Linked DNA regions of Notamacropus eugenii. The main gene of each other region encodes a partner of the protein of the gene in region 2 in a complex. Links are inferred from orthologs where the notes say so. Each region holds a gene or a part of one and is shown on either strand. Other genes may lie near its edges.

Region 1 (6,514 bases), about 210 Mb from region 2:
AACTCTTGGAACTTGGAAAACCTCTTTTACTTCTTGTAACTAAAAAAGGAAGTCAAGAAAATACCCATAACTACTGAGCCATACACCTACTTTTCCATCTCTACACAATCTTTATGAGAATAATACATGTATACTGAGAAGATCCTTGATGAAGGTATGATTAAGGATCAGGCTTTTGCAGCAGATCATATCTTTTCAATAAAAAACTGATAGGTTGGTGGTATCAAATTTAATTCCCTACATGCATACTGACTTAGAAAACACAAATTAACATTGTCTGTGTTATGCTGTACTTTTATTTATTTTGTTAAACATTTCCCAATTAGATTTTAATCTAGTTGGAACTTGAGGAGGGCAGCAAGTTTGACACCTCTGATGTAGAAAATAAAAGATCCTAACATGCTTATTTGTTGATTATTTCAAAGCATCTGATTCAGCAGAGCAAAATGCTTCCTTAAAGATTTTCCCCAAAGAAGTGTGCCCCATGCATGTCAAAATTGAACAAAACTGCTCAAAAGGTGTAACAAAGATAACTGCTTGACAAACCTTTGATTATAAATGTTAAGTGAGACATGCTCACCAAGACATCTGTCAGCATCAGAATTCAAATGAAAGAGGGATTCTCCTTGAAGAAGGTTTATGAGAGGATATACAACAAGAGTTAGACACAATGATGTGTAGGTAAGCTGCAATCTTCACCTCTGGAGGTAGTACCTATATTGATTAGACAGTCACTTATGGATTAAAGAAGTATTTTAAGTTTGTGCCCATTTCCATTTTGTGGTTTGTCAACCATATTAAGATAGAACAGTGTCTAACTTATTTTTAAACAATATAAAGATACAGACTTTGTTTAGTTTCTGTATAACTGGTTTCACGTATTATAAGGACAAACAAAGGGGAACCCAAAGACATTCCTATCTCTTCTCTGCTGACGCTTAAACAAGGGTGGGGAACCTGCAGCATGAACATTTGAGGTCATATGTGACCCTTTAGGTCCTCAAGTGCAGCCCTTTGTCTGAATCCAAACTGCCCAAAACTAATCCCCTTAATAAAAGGATTTATTTTGTAAAACTTAGAGTCAAGCAAAAAGCCCAACCCAAGAACCTAGAAAGCCACATGTGGCCTTGGGGCTAAAGGTTCCCCACACCTGGCACAGACCCTGCTGCTGCCTGGAATTTTCCCCTTAATTCTTTCTCAGCCTGATACCTTTCCCAATGCGTGCCTTTCCTGGCTATCTTCACACAGTTATATAGGAAGCATGAAGATCAGGGTAGGGGAGAGGTATGTTCCTGATATTCAAAGCTTGAATTCTAAATGCTTTCTTACAGAAGTATTATTATCAAGGATGGGTATTACTACCAAGGGTGGTTAAGTTGGCATCACTGAGGTACATTATGGGCAAGACAATTTATGATTTTGTTGTGGGTGAATTATAAACCTTCTATAATTAAGAATACAGTTGACAGTTGCTATGGCTGAAAAAAATTAATCATCCAGTGGACAATCTGGTGATAAGATTCTCTAAACTTACCTGAACTGGTCTTTAAATAACAGGCATACAATCTATTTTCAGACCTGTACATGAAGGCTTTGTAGCTTGCTAGGACCTACCAGAGCTTACAGTCCACTGGCACAGCTTTCAAGAAGTGAGGATTGCCGTCATAAAATAATGGGTCATCACAGCAAGATATTAGTGGAGTACATTAGAAGTCAAATAGGCTTTTATAGATGGCTTGAGACCTGTAAATCACTATTTATAGCATAACTTCTAAGGAAAGATTCTTTTTGTTCCCAGCAACAAACTAGTAACTTATAAAGCACAACCCATTTTTAATTTAGAGAATGCCTATATATGTTCATCTTCAATGCATGACATCCACAATCAAAATACTAAATATAATACTTACATTCTTTAGAGAAAAGTCTTTTCCTTTTACCCTGTCCACCATCTGCTCCTCCTCCTACATCTTCAGTATCTTCCTCAAACTAGAAGAGTTTAAAGAATTGAGATAAAGAAGATTTTTTAAATGTTTAATAAAAAATTTATTTTCAAAAATGAACTAAAATTGGAAGGCATCTAATAGGTCATGGATGCAAATAACCATTTCTATATCCACACAGAAATCTCTTTACAATGTAGAACCCTAAAATCCTGAAACTAAATACAATAAGCCTTAATTTGGTGAACAAATGGTTTACCCAGCTGTTGCATGAGTGAAGGGAAGATTAGAATGTAATAGGGCTATTCATTTTCCTGTTGAATAGTTAAATGTATTTTGTAATAATGAGAAAAAAATAACATACACATAATGCTATATAAACAGCTAAAACATATGTGCTTTATATACATTAGCTAATGTGGAGAGATGAAGGATTTGGGTGACTTCATCTATCCAAGTAATTCTTGGTGTAGAGACTCCTTGTTTTACTAAAGTAGGTTAGTGACTTATCTCGTGTAACTTAATGAATAGAGAACTGGCTGGGGTACTGAGATTAGGTTAAATGACCTGCCCACAATTACAGTCAGTGTGTACAGTTTTCCCTTTTTTTCAAAAAAAATTTTTTAAATCTGTCTCTTAACTTTCAATCATTAATCTTGTTTTGTCCTCTGCAGCACAAAAAAAAGTCTTTTTTTTTCCTGAGTGCCTTTCAAATCTTTGAAAAGAGCTATCCATGTCTTTCCTTAGTTTTCCCTAAGCAAAGCACACCAAGTTTTCAAACTTTCCTTTTATGGCAGTGATGTACTGGAAAGTACAGTGGACTTCGGAGTCAGAAAACTCCCAAGTTTTCTGGCTTTGCCTTTTACTATGTGCTCTTAAGCAAGTCTTTCTGTCATCCTTAAACTAAGGGTACCAGATGATATCTAAGCTCCTTCTGTCATTTTATGCAAACCATTCCAAACCTCTCACTATTCTTATCACTTTCATCTAGATGAATTCCCATCTGTTGATGCCCCTCTTAAAATAATGTGGTTGAAACTAGGATATCCTAGGTTGAATATCTTGTCGTCTAGATGAATTCCATACAATTTTAGAGGTCGGGCAGTCCTCAGAAATCATCTAGTCCAATACTCTCATTTTGTAAAGGATGAAACTGAGACCTTGATATGCTAAATGAATGTTTCACGGCCAGAGAGGGAAACTCAAATCAGAAAAGAGTTCTCCTGATTCCCACAGGTTTACAGTCAGAAACAACATTTAGTATCATCTCCGAATAATGCATATACACAGAGGCTTTTAAGATTAAAAGGCTTTTTTTTCCCACAATGATCCTGGCAGGGAATTATCAAACAACCAACATTCATTCATTATTCTGCCTGTCACGTGCTAGGCACTGTGTTTGACGCTAGGGATGTGAAAGCAAAAATGAATAGTCTCTACCCTCAAAAAACTTAGGTCCCATGGGGGGAACAGATAACTTGTGCCTATACAAATACGTTCAAAATATAGACACAAAATACAACACACTAGCAGGGGATCCGAAAAAGCTTTAATCAGGAGGTAGCTGCTTAATTCAAGTAAATACTATAAGTAACGTCTTTCCCTTTATGTAGAGAAAGAAAGGAGTTCGTTCAAAGCCCAAAGGAGTTAAAAGAGACTCGGCCAAAATCACGCGCCCTTGGACTCCACAAATACACCGGGTCTTTTCCACGACACTGAGAACAGAAAGAGTATCGCGGCTTTCGGCGGCCTCTCCCCACGTCTGTGGGCAATGTTGTGCAGGCATCACTGACTGCTGGGGCATTTTTCTACGCCGCCCGCACAAATCCAGTTCCACAGTGAACCGAGGGAGAAGGGGTAATGTGGAAGCCGGGCACGCAGTGCAGAGAAGCGACCGCGAGCTCCCGGGGCTCCCCGGCCTTGGGCCTCAGCACGCTCCCGCCCGCACACGCTTCTAGGCCCTAGCGGCCGGGGGCCGCTGCTCGCTCCGAGCTGCGGAAAGCGGAGAGGAGGTGAGAGAGGGAGGCCTGCTCACTCACAGTAGGGTCCTCCTCCTCATCAGCCATCCCGTCCCCGGCTCCAACCGTCAGAAATTCCTCTCTTGCTCGGAGGGCGGGGGAACTCGCGAGCTTCCGCTTCCGTCCTTCCGCTTCCTCACTTCTTGCTTCCTCACCTCCACGTCAGAACCGCATCATCTGATCGAACCGCTCCTTGCTGCTCGGGAGAAGGCGCGCACACGCGGAAGTAGAAGCACGTCTCGACACGCACGCGCACGCATGCCTGGGTCTCTGATTCGTCAGAGACGAATGGGGAGGGGCTTAGGCGCGTGACCCTCAGTGATTTGAAAAAAATCTCTCAATCAGCCAGTTGTGGATTGGGGGACGGGGAGACTCGGCAGGGATGCGAATATAAAAGCTGGAGAATCCCTCCTTTCCAGTTTAGTGACAAGCAGCAGGAAATCTAGAGGCAGGGTGCCCTGAGACATCCTTGGGAGCCTTCTGTCCCTACACACAAAGTGGGAAATGACCTCCAGGGCGCCGCTGGATGGTGGAAAGATCCCGGACTTGGGTTAGAGCGGAATAACGGGGTGCCCAGGAAAGACTAGCATTTTCAGAACTATCCATCCACCTTTGGAGCCCACCTTTTACCTGGGACGCCATGAGCAGCGCCTGTTCGGGGTAGCTGACCCCTCCGATGACCCTCAGTGAGTTACGTGAAGGCCTACCCTGGTGCAGCCCGAAGAGGAGAGCAGTGTGTTCCAGCTCTCAGGAAGGTGGCTGAAGCAGACCCTGTGGAGGCCTTAGAGCTGGGTCAGACATCAGAGACGCCAAGGTCACCCGCTGCATAGCTAGTCCTCCTGACTTTTGTCTTGCGGCTGGACTTGGATGACTCTGGAAGAGAGAGTGAGGCTGACCACTTTATGCAACTCTGCCTCACTTAAATCCAGTTTACTCCTAAGTCAAGACGGCAGAAGTCATCACCGCCATGATGCCCCTGGTCCTTTTCAAAAGGGAAGGATGGACCACCTAACAATAAGGGGAATGCATACAGATAGCTATAAAACTGGCAATTGCAAATACGAGTAGTAGGAGTACCTGGAGAAATTTGAGGGGAGAGAAATCCCTTTCAGACTGGAAAGTAATGTGTGCGGGTGAGAGCTGTATTTTCTGCAGCTTGAAAAAAATAAAAAGTAAAGGCTTGTTTTGGTTTGTTTTGAGAAAGGTAATTTGGGATTGCATTTTTTTATCTGACTTGGAGAAGAATTGTAGAGAGACTTCTACATTCCCATCAAGAAAGTTCCAATATGAACTTAGAGAAGTTCTTTACCACTTTGTCCTGTAAGGCAGGCTAGGTGGTATGTAGTGCAAGACTCAGAGTGGGGAAAACCTGAATTTGAATGCTGCCTCAAATACTTAAGTTGTATGACACTGAGAAAGTCGCTTGCCTTCTCTGTTCCTCAGTTTCCTCATCTGCAAAATAGCCTCTACTTGCCAGGATTGTTGTGAGGTTAAAATGAGATCATATATGTCAAATACTTTGCAAGCCTTAATGCACTATGTAAATTCTGTTATCATTATTTCCCTGAAAGTTACAGTTTCCATTTATGCTCCTAATTTTCTGTCTTTGTGTATATTTGCACGTGTCTTTTACCTATTAGGTTGTTGTTCAGTCACTTCAGTCATGTTTGAGTCTTCATGACTTTGTGTAGAGGTCTTTTGGCAAAGATGCTGGGGTGGTTTGCCATTTCCTTCTGCAGTTCACTTTACAGATGAGGAAACTGAGGCAAACAGGGGGAAGTGACTTGCTCAGGTCACATAACTAGTAAATGTCTGAGGCCAGATTTGAACTCAGAAACATGAGTCTTCTTAACTTCAGGCCTGGCACTGTACTTCACCACCTAGCTGCCCACTTGTTATATATCCTAATTCTAGTCTTCTGATCCTTAAGATATGTGACTCTTTTTAACGTAAGAAGATGTAAAACTATTTTAACAAAAATATGTGTTTTTGTATATTCATAATATGAGAGGTAGTACAATATAGTGGAGAAAGTGGCAACCTAGGGTTCAAGATGACCTGAATTTAAATTCCCCTGACATTTACCTACTATATAACCTATCAGTGTCCCAGGCTATTTTCTAAGACTATAAACTGACGAATAGTTGCTTGTCTAAATTGAGAGAGTTTCTTCACTGTTATCTCCCTATGCTCTCAGATGAAATCATATGTCTGGGACCCCCCAAAAAGTATTTACCTATACATGTATGCATGTATATGCATATATATGCATATATGTATATATACATATATGTATCTATAACAAATGTATATGAGTTACTATTAGAAGGTAACTAATGTCTTCAGGCAAAGTAACTATCTGATCTAATTACCATTTTTACCAGAAGTGATCAAGCACTCACAATAAGAATTTGTTAAGTCTCAATCATGTGCCAGGCACTGTACTAATCACTGGGGGAATGCAAAGACCGAGGAAAAACAGCTCTGCCCCTCAAGGAACTCCCATTGTAGTGGGGAAGACAAGATGCACCTGAATAGATACATAGAGATAGC
Region 2 (6,514 bases):
CTCCAAGTCCATGTTTGGATTAGGTCCTCCATATACTTAGGCTGAATAATTTTAACTGAGACATTATTGTACCACAGGGGGCAGCTAGGTGATGCAGTGGCTAGAGCACCAGTACAGGAGTCAGGAGGACCTGAGTTCAAATCTCACCTCAGACATTTGACACTCACTAGCTGTGTGACCTTGGGCAAGTCACTCAACCCCAACTGCCTCATCCTGGGTCATCTCCAGTCATCCTGATGAATAACTGGTCACTGGATTCAGATGGCTCTGGAGGAGGAAGTGAGGCTGGTGACCTGCACAGCCCTCCCGGACTCAAAACAAAGTCATGTCATTCAGGTCCTCCTGACTCCTGTACTGGTGCTCTATCCAGTGAACCACCTAGCTGCCCCTTGTGGTACAATAATGACCCAGTTAAAATTATTCAACCTAAGTACATGGAGGACCTGGTCCAAATCATTGGAAAGTCATGTCATCATTACACACACACACACACACACACACACACACACACACACACACACACACCCCAATCTTTTCAGTAGTCCCAGTATTTCACTTAAAAAATTAAATAAAAATTTAAATTAAAAAATTTTTAAAAGGAGGCTCTTCATCCTGAGCTTCTACCTAATAACCTTGATATCATCCCAAACACTCCTTTTCATATTTTGATATTTCTTTCCCTGGCACCGAGCACAGTACCTGGCATAGTTTCTTGCTGCTGTTTAGTCAATTTGCCCACATCCAAGTCTTCATGACCCCATTTGGGGTTTTCTTATATTTATGGAGGGTGGTGGGAGGCAATCAGGATGAGGTGATTAGGCCGGGCTCACAGTTACTAAGTGTGAAGTTTCTGAGGCCAGATGTGAACTTGGGTCCTTCTGACACCAGGGCTGGTTCTCTATCTACTGCACCACCTAGCTGCCCTTCGTTTGGGGTCTTCTTGACAAAGTTACTGGAGTGGTTTGCCATTTTTCTTTCCACCTCATTTTACAGATGAGGATGAGGCAGAAGAGGCAAACAGAGTTAAAGTGACTTGCCCAGAGGCAACATTTGAACTCAGATCCTCCTGACTCCAGGGCTGGCACTCAATACACTGTGCTAACCTATTTGCCCTTAACTGGCAGAGTAGGTGCTTAATAAATGCTTATAGAATTTAAATGAATTTACAAATAAGTTATTTTGTCTTCCCAGAGAAACTGTTTTTCCCCAATACATCTCCAATTATTTATGACACTCTGTCTTCTGAACCCCCACTCCCAAGAGTCCCCTACGAGTCAGCAACTTTTAGGAGTCCCCAACTCATAAAAATTTTAATATTTCCAACAGGTCCCTGCAACACATACAGCATTCCAAATGCAGTAGTCTGAACTGACCCTCCTTCACTTGGACAGGCAAATGAGTTTCTTAAAAAGGAAATCAAATCATTCCAAAAGAACCCCACCCAGGCTTTTAAGAAGGTGTTAACTTTTTAAGGTGGATTACTCAGGGTTCCTAGGCTGTCAGGAAAATCTTATTCCTATTTACCTGTAGTCCAATAAAGGATCTGTAGACAAGTTGTCCAGACTCATGCCTCAATAAGGCAAACATCCAGATCTGCTCTGTTCAAAAGTATCATTTTAAAAATTAACATGAATGTACTTCTACAATGTGCTCTACGTAGGCCAGAGGTGTCAAACATACCACTTTAAAATTAAATCAATATTTGGCCCACAGGGATACTTATATACAATTTAATCAACTGTTTCTATTTGAGTTTGACACTACTGCTCTAGGCAAATCAATATTCCAAGCAACCTGCATACTATTATGTTTCTGCTTTCACATTCTTAATGGATAGAGTAAGACAACAGATATCATTAGCACTAAACTTCTGTGTGGCTAAATTCTCATCTACAAATTGGGTCAGTTTCTTTGAAAGGAAACATAACAGAAAAATGATTGTACAATTACAACCTAAAACAAAAGAATATGATCTTTTTTCTCTTGCAATATTAGGGCATCCAAGAAAGATAGTCTCAGAATGTACAAGGGATCCAAATATAACCTGGACAAAGCCTCAATGAATAGCCCCTCCTTCAGGAGCTACCTTATCCCCAACTTGCACTTTAAGGTTGGTTCCTTGGAGGGATGACTGGCTATGTTGAGTCCAAAGAGTACACTACTCTGTGGCCTGGCACCCCAAGCTCACAACCCTAAACCCTAGCCCAGAAACTCTCACCAGTGGGCTTACAATTAGGTGAAAGCAAAGACATTTACTAAGCTGACATTGTAAAACCAAGTAGCTACAAAACACTTCCTACACACACAGGAAAACGCAGGTGAAAAGGTGGAAGGAAGAATTTATTAAGCTCCTACTACGCGTCAGGCATTGTGATTTACAAACGGTATCTTATTTGATTCTCCTATCCCTACTTCACAGCACAAGAAACAGACAAAAAGAGGTGACACAGGTAGTGTCTGAGCCTGTATTTGAACCACGATACCTCGTGGGAAAAGTGAGCAGAAACTGAGAGTCCACACAACTCATCCTTCAGCACAGCTGAGCACTTAGGTCCTTCCACCACTCTACCCACCGATGGGCTTGGCAGCTGCCCGGGAAAGGCAGCTCCACTCCTACCTTGAGTTTGCTCCTGACTGGGAACAGGAAGCTCCTCAATGAGCAGCTATTGTTTCTAGCACTGAATTTAGCTGAACACAGCTAAACAAGGCTAAGGTCTGCACTCTTTCAGAGAGTCCCTACCCTAGGACTCTCAGCTTTCCCAGGGGTGCTCTTTTGGGGCCTCTGCTGTGAGACCTACTGCCTCCCAGACTGGAGAACGGGGAGCAGGATCATTTCAACAAACCCAAAGCCTAAGGTTTAGCCTTTTCTTTCAACAACTCTTCCTATAAAAGGGCTGAGTCCCCTTAGCCAGACTTAACACCCACTTTAGGTGAATATCCCATATATTTCCCAAATGTTCAAACAATAACCATTTTTGCCCCATAATTAACCAACACCCCTACAGCTCAGGATTCCCTAGTTTTTAAAGTACATACTTTAAATCTCTTGGTGGTCTATAGCAAATAAGACAGGAAAAGGTACAAACGCAAGCTATGCCCCGGCTACTAGTTTCACACCTTTAGGGAGGGCAAATGAGCACACTCACTTGCATGCTCTGTCCGCAACACAAAACGGTCCGTCCAAATCCACTTTCTTTTTTGGAGCGCTATATGGTTATAATGACCACATCTAATCCCAAATTAGAAATGAGAAAATTCACCTCCCTCACTTTCTCACAAAGGTCATGAGTGGAAAAGAAGAAATTTAGAAATTCTACCTGAATGAGACACACTCTTCCATCGGATCTCTGGCTATTACCAAGACTTCCCCTGTGAATTTACTGCGTGTGGAACTCTCTCTGCCATCGATACTCTTATAAAGTTACCTAGGGCACTGGCCCAGGATCACAGCCAGCATTCTTCGTGGGCAGGACTTGAATACAGGTCTTCCTGCTTCCCGCCAGTTCTCTATCCACGGCGCCAGGATACAATTTTGCCAAAATTTTATTTTCCTCGTACCTGCCACAAGGGATGCCCGCTCCAACTCGCCAATTCTCCAAAAGGATCGCTCTCCCTCTCCACAACTCCTATAGAAAATTTAAAAATACCCCGGCTCCCCCTTCCCGCGCAGGCGCAGAAAGTCCCGGTAGTCAGCAGACTATCCTACGGGGAGCCTCCAGTAAGCTCTGGGGACGCTTTCCTCCCCTTATACCCACTTGCCGCTCACCTATCGAGCCCCTGAAGACATGCCTCCCGACGTCCGGCTCCCCCACCCGTGCTGTCTCCGGTTCCTCACCGGCTCCCAACAGCAGCTCGTGTGGCGCGAGCCACCATCTCAAACCTCTGCCTCTTCGGCGGGTCCTAGCAGTACCTTAGACTTCCTCACAGGTCCTGGCAGAGCCAGGTCAAAGACCCTTCAGCCCGCCGCCTCAACCCGGAAAAATCTTCCTCTGCCAACAGCTTCCACAAAAGGGTCTCTTCCACATTCCCATGGACAAAAGGAATATACTCCGCTCTCTGCCTTAGCCGCTTCCCCACTTCTTTTCGTCCTGCTTCGCCACATCTAGGACCTGGACGGTGACAAACAGTGCTGGCGCTTGCGCGGCGCCTGCGCAGTAGGTGAACCTAAGGGGGGGGGGGGGGAAGCGGAGGGGGGAGGAGTCCAAGCGCGTTCGCTCTGAGTCTGCGCGGTCCTTCACCCTCAGCTTGGTAAAGCGCGTACTCGCGACATGCCAGGCTGGATTTAAAGGGCCAGTTTACTTGCAACCTGGCTTTTTAAAAAATCGTTCCTTTGTCGTCGCTGTCCGAGGTTGGTGCTCGGTAGCTGAACATGGAACAGGGGTGGCAGCGACGACAGCTGCTGCTGTTTTGCTTCCTCCTGCTTGTATTGAAGAGCTGTTGTGGGAAGCCAAAGGAAAAAGAAGAGGAGGAGGAGGAGGAGCACCTACCCAGCAAATGCGAAGGTACCCTGGGCATCCACCGAGGATGCGCCCTGTGCTCCCGGGCCAGCTCGGATGGGCTCTGAGACAGGGAGGGGCACGACGTTTGTAGAGGGAAAAGCGGGGGCGGGATGGAGACTGATCCTCGCTGTGTGGCCCCTGGCAAAGCGCTTCTCCTCTCTGAGCTTGTTTACCCATCCGCAAAATGGGCACGGTCCGCATGCCGCCTATGGAGCCGCGTGGCTGGTATTCCCCTTCCCGTCACTGCCGGACTCTGGGAATTAGGGGGATTGGACCTGGGGGGGAATGTAGGCTCCGTCACTTGCTGACCAGAGCCCCTTAGGGTTCCCTTGCGCCCTCCTCTCCTTACCTGTAAAATGGTGATGGTAAAGGTCGTATTACCTTGTCCGGGCTGTTGTGAGGCTAAGTAGACATAAAGGACTTGGTCAACTAAAGCTCTAAATAAATACTGACACTGCTTTGTTGTTCAGTCGTGACCCTATTTAGGGTTTTCTTGACAAAGATACTGGAGTGGTTTGCCATTTTCTTCTCCACCTCATTTTACAGATGAGAAAACTGAGGCAAACAGGGTTGAATGACTTCCCCAGGGTCGCACAGCCTGGCGCAAGTGGTCCCTGTGGTCCTTAGGTTCATGAACAGGGAAATTCGCCACTCCAGCCTCCAGCTTCCACCGAAACCCAGTTCTAGTGTCTTATTGGAGCAGTGATGGATTTTTGAAGGCTATGCAGGTGGAATTTAAAATGTAGGAAGCTCTACCAAACCAGAAAGGCTTCAAGTTGTTGTATTTGCCTTTTCTTCTCAGAGGGAGATGATGACATGACTTGCAGTTGACTTTGATTTGAGTGAGGGAGGGCTGTGCAAGGTCAGCAGCCTCACTTTGTCCTCCAGAGCCATCTGTCCATCCAGAGGACTGGAGGTGGCCCAGGATGCAATGAGAGACACTGGCCTTTTTAGGCTAAAGTCTTTTCAGATTCTCAAAAAACAAAAGAAAACCAAACTGGGAGGGGAAGACCCTTGGGATTCCTGGCCAAAAGAGAAACAGTTTCTATTTACTATTTACATTCACTTTGAGCTAGGAGGAGGGGGACTTGTTGTCCAAAGGCTTCAATCACATCCAGGAAAGAACTCTTAGCCTTTCATCAAAGGACCAGCCCAGATAAATTGGGAGAAGTTTATTACCAGGTTGGCCCAGTAATGATTTTTTACAACCCAGCAACTCATAAAGATCAACTACTGAGGTACAAAGGGGTTGTGTTCTGCTTTGATAAAGGGAGTATTTCCCACCTGGACAAAATCACAGTTTTTTCAAATGTAAAACTCTGGTGCCTCTGAGCCCATGCCTTAAAACTGATATAAACTGTAATTCAGGCCTACCAAGCTGAAAGTGGGGTTTAAAGAATCATATTAGAGCTGGAAAGGACCTTAGAAATCTTTTAATTCGCATGGCAGCAGTTGTGAACACCCTGCCCTGTCCCACCCCAGCTTGGAAGCTTCCAAATTAAAGGAGCCTTGGAAGGAGAAGGTGATTCAGCCACTCCTTGATGCCCATAAACTAGCAAGGAAGAACAAAGGTAGTTGTCATGTTGCCTAACTGGGGAATGTTTGGGAAGGATACTCCCAAACAGTTTTGGACTGTGCAGAAGTTGTGAGCACTAAGGACTTCATCCCGTACTGATTTGCCTGTGGCTACACAGCTAGCATCTTTTTCCCTGATGAACTCAGTGTTACTGATGTAATACATTGTTTCAGAAGATCTCATTTCATAAGTGTGGCCCTTCACTTTATGCAAAAGGCAACCCACTCCCCCCAACACACCCCTTTAATCAGTGGTCTTCATAAGAAGTTATGGGGGGGAGGGGGAATACTTCTCCTGATAGTCAACATTATGGCCTCTTCTCACTTAGGCTAGTTCTTGGATAACAAACTTATATCATCTGTTACCAAGGCTGTACTTTACCAGCATGGTCTTCAAGAGCCCAGAACCACCATGAAGCTTCAGAGTAGGATGCTAAAGG
Region 3 (6,514 bases), about 22 Mb from region 2:
CTAACCTTTTAAGTCTTCTCACACCTTACTCAACTTGTACTTTTCAATCTTGTGACACTGATTTCCTGGCTGTTCCTCAAACAAGACACTCATCTCTTGGTTCTGGGCATTTTTTCAGACTGTTCCCCACACCTGGAATGCTCTCCCTCCTCACCTCTACCTGCTGGATTCCTTGGCTTCAACTAAAATCCCATCTTCTACAGAAGTCTTTCCCAACCCTCTAAACCCTAGCACTTCCCTCTTTTAATTATTTCCTATTTATCTTGTTCCTATTTCTATTTATTTAATTATTTCCTATTTATCCTGTATGAAGTTTGTCTATACATGTCTATATGTTGTCTCCTCCATTAGAGTATAAGCTCCTCAAGGGCAGGGACTATCTTTTGCCTCTTTTGTATATGCAGCACTTAGCACTGCACCTGGTGTTTAGAAGATGCTTAATAAATGCTTTCTTACTGATCAGTCCTGTCACCTCATTTCTCCCTACCAAAAGCAGCAACCTCTGCACTCTAGAATCCATGACCCCAATTCTTGCGGAAATTACTCCGCTTTGGAATTTCTATTCACAGGCTGAAATGTCTTGAGTGAATATAAATTTGCCTTCCCTACGATATTTGCACAGCCCCAGAAAAGCCCAAATTAGGCTATGCTTTGTATTCCATCCAGCCGTCCACAAAGGCCACCTTGCCAACTACTCTGCCAATGCACAAATACCCTCCCCATTCCTCTTTTTCCACTTCTTGATCTGGGAAAAGTAATCAATAATACCAAAGCTTTTGGAAAGGGCATATTAATTGACTGCCCTACGGATCAACTCAGCATTCTAGTAACTCCCTGGACCAAAACTCCTTTAACTGCCCACTCTCCTCTTTAAATACAGAATGAACCCACTTATCTCACTTATTACAGAATGTAAGTTCTTGAGGGCAAGAACTGCCTTACTTTTCTGTATTTGTATCCCTGGTGCTTAACAGAGTGTTTAACATATATAGCAAATGTTTAAAAAAGTGTATTTGTTCATTCATTCACTAAGTCTTAGCTGCTTCATAAGCTTCTGTGTTAGAGAAAAATAAATTATCTGTTGACCAAACTTTTGCTGAGTATATCCAAATTTAATAAGTACATTCTTGGACCAAAGTTCATTGCTTAGCTCATATCTGAAAACTCTGAGAACTGCAAAAGTTTATAATCCATCAGCAAAACCATTGAGAATTCAAGGCAACCTCCACCACAAGGAAGTTTCATGGAGGTAGGTATTTAACTTTCAAAAAAATTTAATGGACTGACTTTGCAAAAAGCAGCTAGTATCCTCCATACTCACAGCTTTGTAACATCTCAGTTAATGTTTCCACCGATGCTTTCTCAGCACTTTCAAACCCAGCCTCTGTCAGCAAGGAGCTCACAACTACCTGCAAGGTCCGCCTGCGTGCCAGGTAGTAGTTGTCTGCAGGGGTGGTGGCCTGCTTGCTTCCTGATCTCTATATGAATCAACAAAAGAGAGCATGGTTTTAGTTTACATATTAAAGGTGAAATCACATACTCTAAGAATATAAAACTGACCACCCATGACAGATGGGAAATGAATGATAAATGCCTACCAACACCTCCCTTTTAAAATGCAGCAACTCTGCCATTCTGACTTGTGCTTCTGGCTAACTAGCTTAATCACTGAGTGTTCAAGAAGTGCTGAACCCTGGAAGCTAATGATTCCTTCCCTCAATGTATACCCCAGAATAAGGGCCTCCAGGTCTTCATAAAATTTTTTCTTTCCAGGGATGTACACACTGATAATGAGGTTGATGCATGAATTGTCAGACCTAGCTCAGTGTTTGGGAGGATCCGAAGAAATCTATGGGAGAGAAGAGGTATTAGACTGACTACCAAACTGAAGGTCTACAGAGCCGTTATGCTGACCTCATTGTGGAATTCCTGTGAAACCTGGACAGTATACCAGCACCATGCCAGGAAACTGAATCGCTTCCATTTGAACTGTCTTAGGAAGATCCTGAAGATCACTTGGCAAGATAAGGTACCAGACACTGAGGTTCTTACTCAAACTAAACTGCCAAGCATTCATATTCTGCTTCAGACAGTGCAACTCTGATGGACTGGCCACGTTGTTCAAATGCAAAACATATGCTTGCCAAAAAGACTTTTATGGAGAACTCACACAGGGCAAGCATTCATACGGTGGTCAGAAGAAGCGATACAAGGACACCCTCAAGGTGGGAGACACACGAGGAGATACTGACACTGGAACACTCAGCATGGCATTCCCACATCAGAGAAGGTGCTGTGCTCTATGAGCAAAGCAGAATTAAAAGCGCTCGAAGGAAACTCAGGATGCACAAATTCAGACTATCCACCCCAAATGTTCACATGGACTATTTGTGTCTGATCTGCGGTAGAGCATTCCGAGCTTGTACTGGTCTGGTCAGCCATAGTCGGACACATCTAAGCTTGACTCTAGCACAGTGATGTCACTTTGGTCCTCTCTGAGAACAAAGGACAACAACCAGCCCCAGAACGACTCCTCTCCTTCAGTCTCAGAGCTCCTCATTTCACATACGATGAGAAACACTTTGTAAAAGGATTTCATTGCCTCTATGTTCCCTCCAAGCACTAGAAGTCTCTGATGTTATGAAAAGAGGTTCAAATCATGACTCAGACTTTTAGCTGTGTGACCCTGGGCAAGTCACTTCACCCTGTTTGCCTCAGTTTCCTCATCTGTAAAATGAGCTGGAAAAGAAAATGGCAAACCACTCCAGTATCTAATGGGGTCACGGAAGAGCTTAACTGAATAGCAAAAACAGGAATTATTCTTCTCAGCTGTCACAGGGCCAAGTGGTTTAACTCGCACCGTTGCAAACAGATTTTTATAACAAGAAGGACGCTGAAATGTTCTTTTAAATCCCCCACCAGCTGGTTTTTCGATTGGCAAAAAATCGGGCCAATAAGAGAGAAGGCAGGGCAGCTTGAGCCAATTAGACGCTTTCTCCGGAATCCCCGCCTCCTACTGGGAACTAGCCAATTGAGGACTCGAGCGGCCAAGAGCTAGAAGAGGTGGGGGGAGGGGTACACTGGAAGGGGAGGCCTTTGCCTCGGCCAGAGTGGCTCGGTGTGGGAACTGACTCCAGAGACCCCCCAATCTTCGCGCTGCTCCGTTTTGCTGAGGCCAGGGACTAAGTCCTCATGCCCCTGACCCACGCCCTCTGATTCTTACCGCTCCTGAGCTACCGGCTCCGGCAGTTGCAGCTGTGTCAGCCATCTTGAATACCTGAGAATGTGCATGTGCGCAGGGCAGCCTGGGAACTGTAGTCCTAGGGGGAAGCGGGGGCGGTGCAGGGATAGGAGGGAGGAGGGAGAGGGGTCGGGCTCACAGCTCCAGTTTCCAAAGATGGGCGTTGTGGTGGGTGTGACCAGAGTCCGTGACTTCACGTGGCCTTACACGAGAGGATAGAGTGCACGCTGGCTTGTTAGACCACTAGGAGCCTAAAGCCTGGGAAATGCGCCCTCAGGTGACAGCAGGAAAAGGGAGCTTAGATGTGTTTCGTTCACCATTGAAACCCCAGCAGCTTCATAGCCTCCTGGAGCAGAGACACCTCAGTGTCCCAGGATCACAGGCTTTGGACTTGGGGCACGGAATTCTTAATCCTTCTTGTGTATCTCGGACCCTTTAGGCACATCTAAGGACCCCTTCTCAGAATCATGTTTTTCAGTGCGTAAGAATACAAAGGATTCCAATTAAGTTAAATACAGATAATCATGTTAAAAACAAACCACCAAGTTCATGAACCCCAGGTTTAAAACATCTCTGCTAAATTAAAAAATTCTGAGATGCTACCTCACACCTATTGGATTGGGTAACAGGACAGAGGGGGAGGGGGAGAAACGTTGGAGGGGACGTGGGAAAACTGAGACTTTGGTGCACTGTTGGGGTTGCGAACTGATAAAATCATTCTGTAGAGCAATCTGGAACTGTCTAGGGAGCTATGAAACCAGGCATGCCCTTTGACCTAGCAATACCACTACTAGGTCTGTATACCAAAAGAGATTTTAAAAAGGAAAAGGACCTATGTGCACAAATATTTATAAATAAATATATTTATATATTATAAATGTAAATAAAATATTTGTAGCAACTCTTTTCTGATGGCAGGGACCTGGAAATTGATGGGATGGCTGAACAAGTTGTGTTATGTGATTGTGATAGAATACTATTATGCTATAAGAAATGATGAGCAGGATGCACTCAGAAACCTGGAAGGACTTACATGAACCGATGCAGAGTTAAATGAGTAGAACCAGGGGAATAGTGTACTCAGTAATGTTGAGGTTTAGGGGTGCTCCCACAGAAATAGCAGGGTCTTGCCCAAATGAATTTGACTCAAGCCTTCTTTCAGCCAAAGAAAAACAAAGTTGCTTTGTTTTTTTTTAAGATTGGCCATATTGAACAGACTCTTAAGGAATCTGAGCATTTGTGACTCTTGTATTGACAATTGGGCCAGATACAATGTGAGCTAGATTGAATCTGAACGCCTTCATGGAAGCAAGATGAATCTTATATACAGAAAGATTGTGTGAGAGATCTAGAGTTGGCCAAGAACTCCAGAGTAACTAGAGATGTAACCAGTAACTACAGATGGGGTTTAAGGAGGGTCCTAGCCAATGGAGGGCTAGGCTAGGTTAAGCATAACAAATTTGGGCATGAAAAGCCAAATCAAGTGGGAAGATTCAAAGAGCGTTCAAGCAGGTTCCTAGAGCCTGTACCCCATCAGTAACAGAAATACTGTAAGATGATTAGCTGTGAATGATTTAGCTATTCTCAGTAACACAATGATCCAAGACAACTCTGAAGAACTTAGGATGTAAAATGCTATCCATCCCCAGAGAAAGAACTGATGGTCTCAGAATACAGAGACTTTTTTTACTTTATTTTTCTTGAAGGGTTTTTTTTGGGGTCTATATTTTCTTTTACAATATGACTAGTATGGAAATTGTTTTGCATGCCTACACATGGATAACCTATATCAAATTGCTTGCCTTCTCAATGAGCAGGATGAGGAGGAAGGGAGAGAATTTGAAACTCGAAATTTTTAAAATGAATGTTAAAAGTTGTTTTCACGTGTAATTGAGGGAAAATAAAATACCAAATATATATATATATTTTTAAATACCTCTGCTTTAGTGGGATCTTTGACATAATTTAGTTCAGCCCTTCCTCTCCCCCCCCCTTTTTACAGAATTGGAAATCGAGATCTGGAAGAAGTGAAATGCACAAAGTGCAGGGATCCAGATTTCCAAGGCTTTTTCCACTTCATTGTTAGGAAACCACACCCTTCGCCAGCAGTCAAGAGACAAGAATTTTTGGATCCCAAACCTTTTGCCCTGAGTCCTAGAGGTTACTAAAGCTTCAGTGACTAACAAGAGCTCCACCCCTTCACAACGAAGTCTACAGCAATTCTAGGGTTTAGAGATCAATCCCTTTCTCCACAGAACCGCAGAATATTCCTACTAGAAGGGACTTTATTATTAGGACCATAATATTCAGAGCAGGAAGGGGCTTTTGAGGTGATTTCGTCCAACCTTTTTATTTGACAGGAGAAACTTGCAATTCAGGGCGGCATCGAAGTGATCAAAATGATATGCAACTAAGTAGCAAAGCCAGAACACTCCAATCACCTTTGGGGCAGGACAGCGCAGCGCCCACGTACAGAGTACTCCTCTGGGTAGAGGAGGGTGCTCTCCTCACCCTGGGTGACAACACTACCACCTTCACGCCCACACCTGTGCTAGAGCGGCCCTGAGGGCAGCAAGGCCCCTTCCCCCCTACACCCACCCCTCCCCTTGGCTCTGAGAAGCAGGAGCCAGGGGGCGGGGTCCCCTCGGGTCCGTGCGCACCCCGGAGTTCGGATCCGGGGCAGCCCCTAGACCGCGGGGTTAGCAGGCTCTGGAGAGGGGGCCACGGGGGAGAAGGGAGGGGGGCGCGATACCTCTCTACAGCAGGAACCCACAGCCCCTCCGTCTCCCCCCCCCGCCCCCTCCTCCCCACTTCCTGCCCAACTTCAAACGTCGAATCCCTAGCGCAGCACCGAAATTGTAAACACTCCGCTCGAGCGCGGAGGAGGGGTCGAGATGGAAGCGGTCAGGGGCAGGTAGGGAGTGATCTCTTCCTCGGCTCCCCACGTCCAGCCCGGTGTCAGTGGCGGGCCTACCCCAAGGACACAGTTCTGGAGCTGGAAGGTCCATGCCGGGAGGAACAGGGTGCGAAGAGGCGACTCCAGGACTCACCTGTTAGGTAGGCATCGGAGCTGTGGATGGAGCAGGTCTGGGGGAGGTGGGGCTCGAAACGAGTTCGTGCAGGTCGGGCCAGCGCCCATCCCTCGGGAGCACCTGGGGCTGGGGGGTTGGAGAGTCCCGAGGGAAAAGGCGTCTAGGAGGTAAAAAGAAAATCCCGATTTAAGGGGAGTGGGGAGGGCTCCGAAGCGTGGGGCTGGGGAATCTCAGGAGGGAC

Evidence for each region.
Region 1: TAF6 (region 2) and TAF13 share a complex: the UniProt entries of both Homo sapiens proteins name them as parts of the TFIID basal transcription factor complex. The link is inferred for Notamacropus eugenii from reciprocal best matches to the Homo sapiens genes TAF6 and TAF13.
Region 3: TAF6 (region 2) and TAF8 share a complex: the UniProt entries of both Homo sapiens proteins name them as parts of the TFIID basal transcription factor complex. The link is inferred for Notamacropus eugenii from reciprocal best matches to the Homo sapiens genes TAF6 and TAF8.

The regions. Positions count from the first base shown.
Region 1 is NC_092873.1:287,195,953-287,202,466, forward strand, and holds the start of TAF13 (transcription initiation factor TFIID subunit 13), read right to left. Parts: upstream 4,179-6,514; 5' UTR 4,010-4,178; coding exon 3,983-4,009; intron 1,990-3,982; coding exon 1,911-1,989; intron 1-1,910. UniProt on the Homo sapiens protein: The TFIID basal transcription factor complex plays a major role in the initiation of RNA polymerase II (Pol II)-dependent transcription.
Region 2 is NC_092873.1:80,658,719-80,665,232, reverse strand, and holds the start of TAF6 (transcription initiation factor TFIID subunit 6), read right to left. Parts: upstream 3,617-6,514; 5' UTR 3,458-3,616; coding exon 3,426-3,457; exon of another isoform or gene 3,341-3,425; coding exon of another isoform or gene 3,318-3,340; intron 1-3,317. Other genes in the region: CNPY4 (protein canopy homolog 4), read left to right, coding at 4,370-4,502. UniProt on the Homo sapiens protein: The TFIID basal transcription factor complex plays a major role in the initiation of RNA polymerase II (Pol II)-dependent transcription.
Region 3 is NC_092873.1:103,087,744-103,094,257, reverse strand, and holds the start of TAF8 (transcription initiation factor TFIID subunit 8), read right to left. Parts: upstream 3,325-6,514; 5' UTR 3,269-3,324; coding exon 3,224-3,268; intron 1,479-3,223; coding exon 1,322-1,478; intron 1-1,321. UniProt on the Homo sapiens protein: The TFIID basal transcription factor complex plays a major role in the initiation of RNA polymerase II (Pol II)-dependent transcription.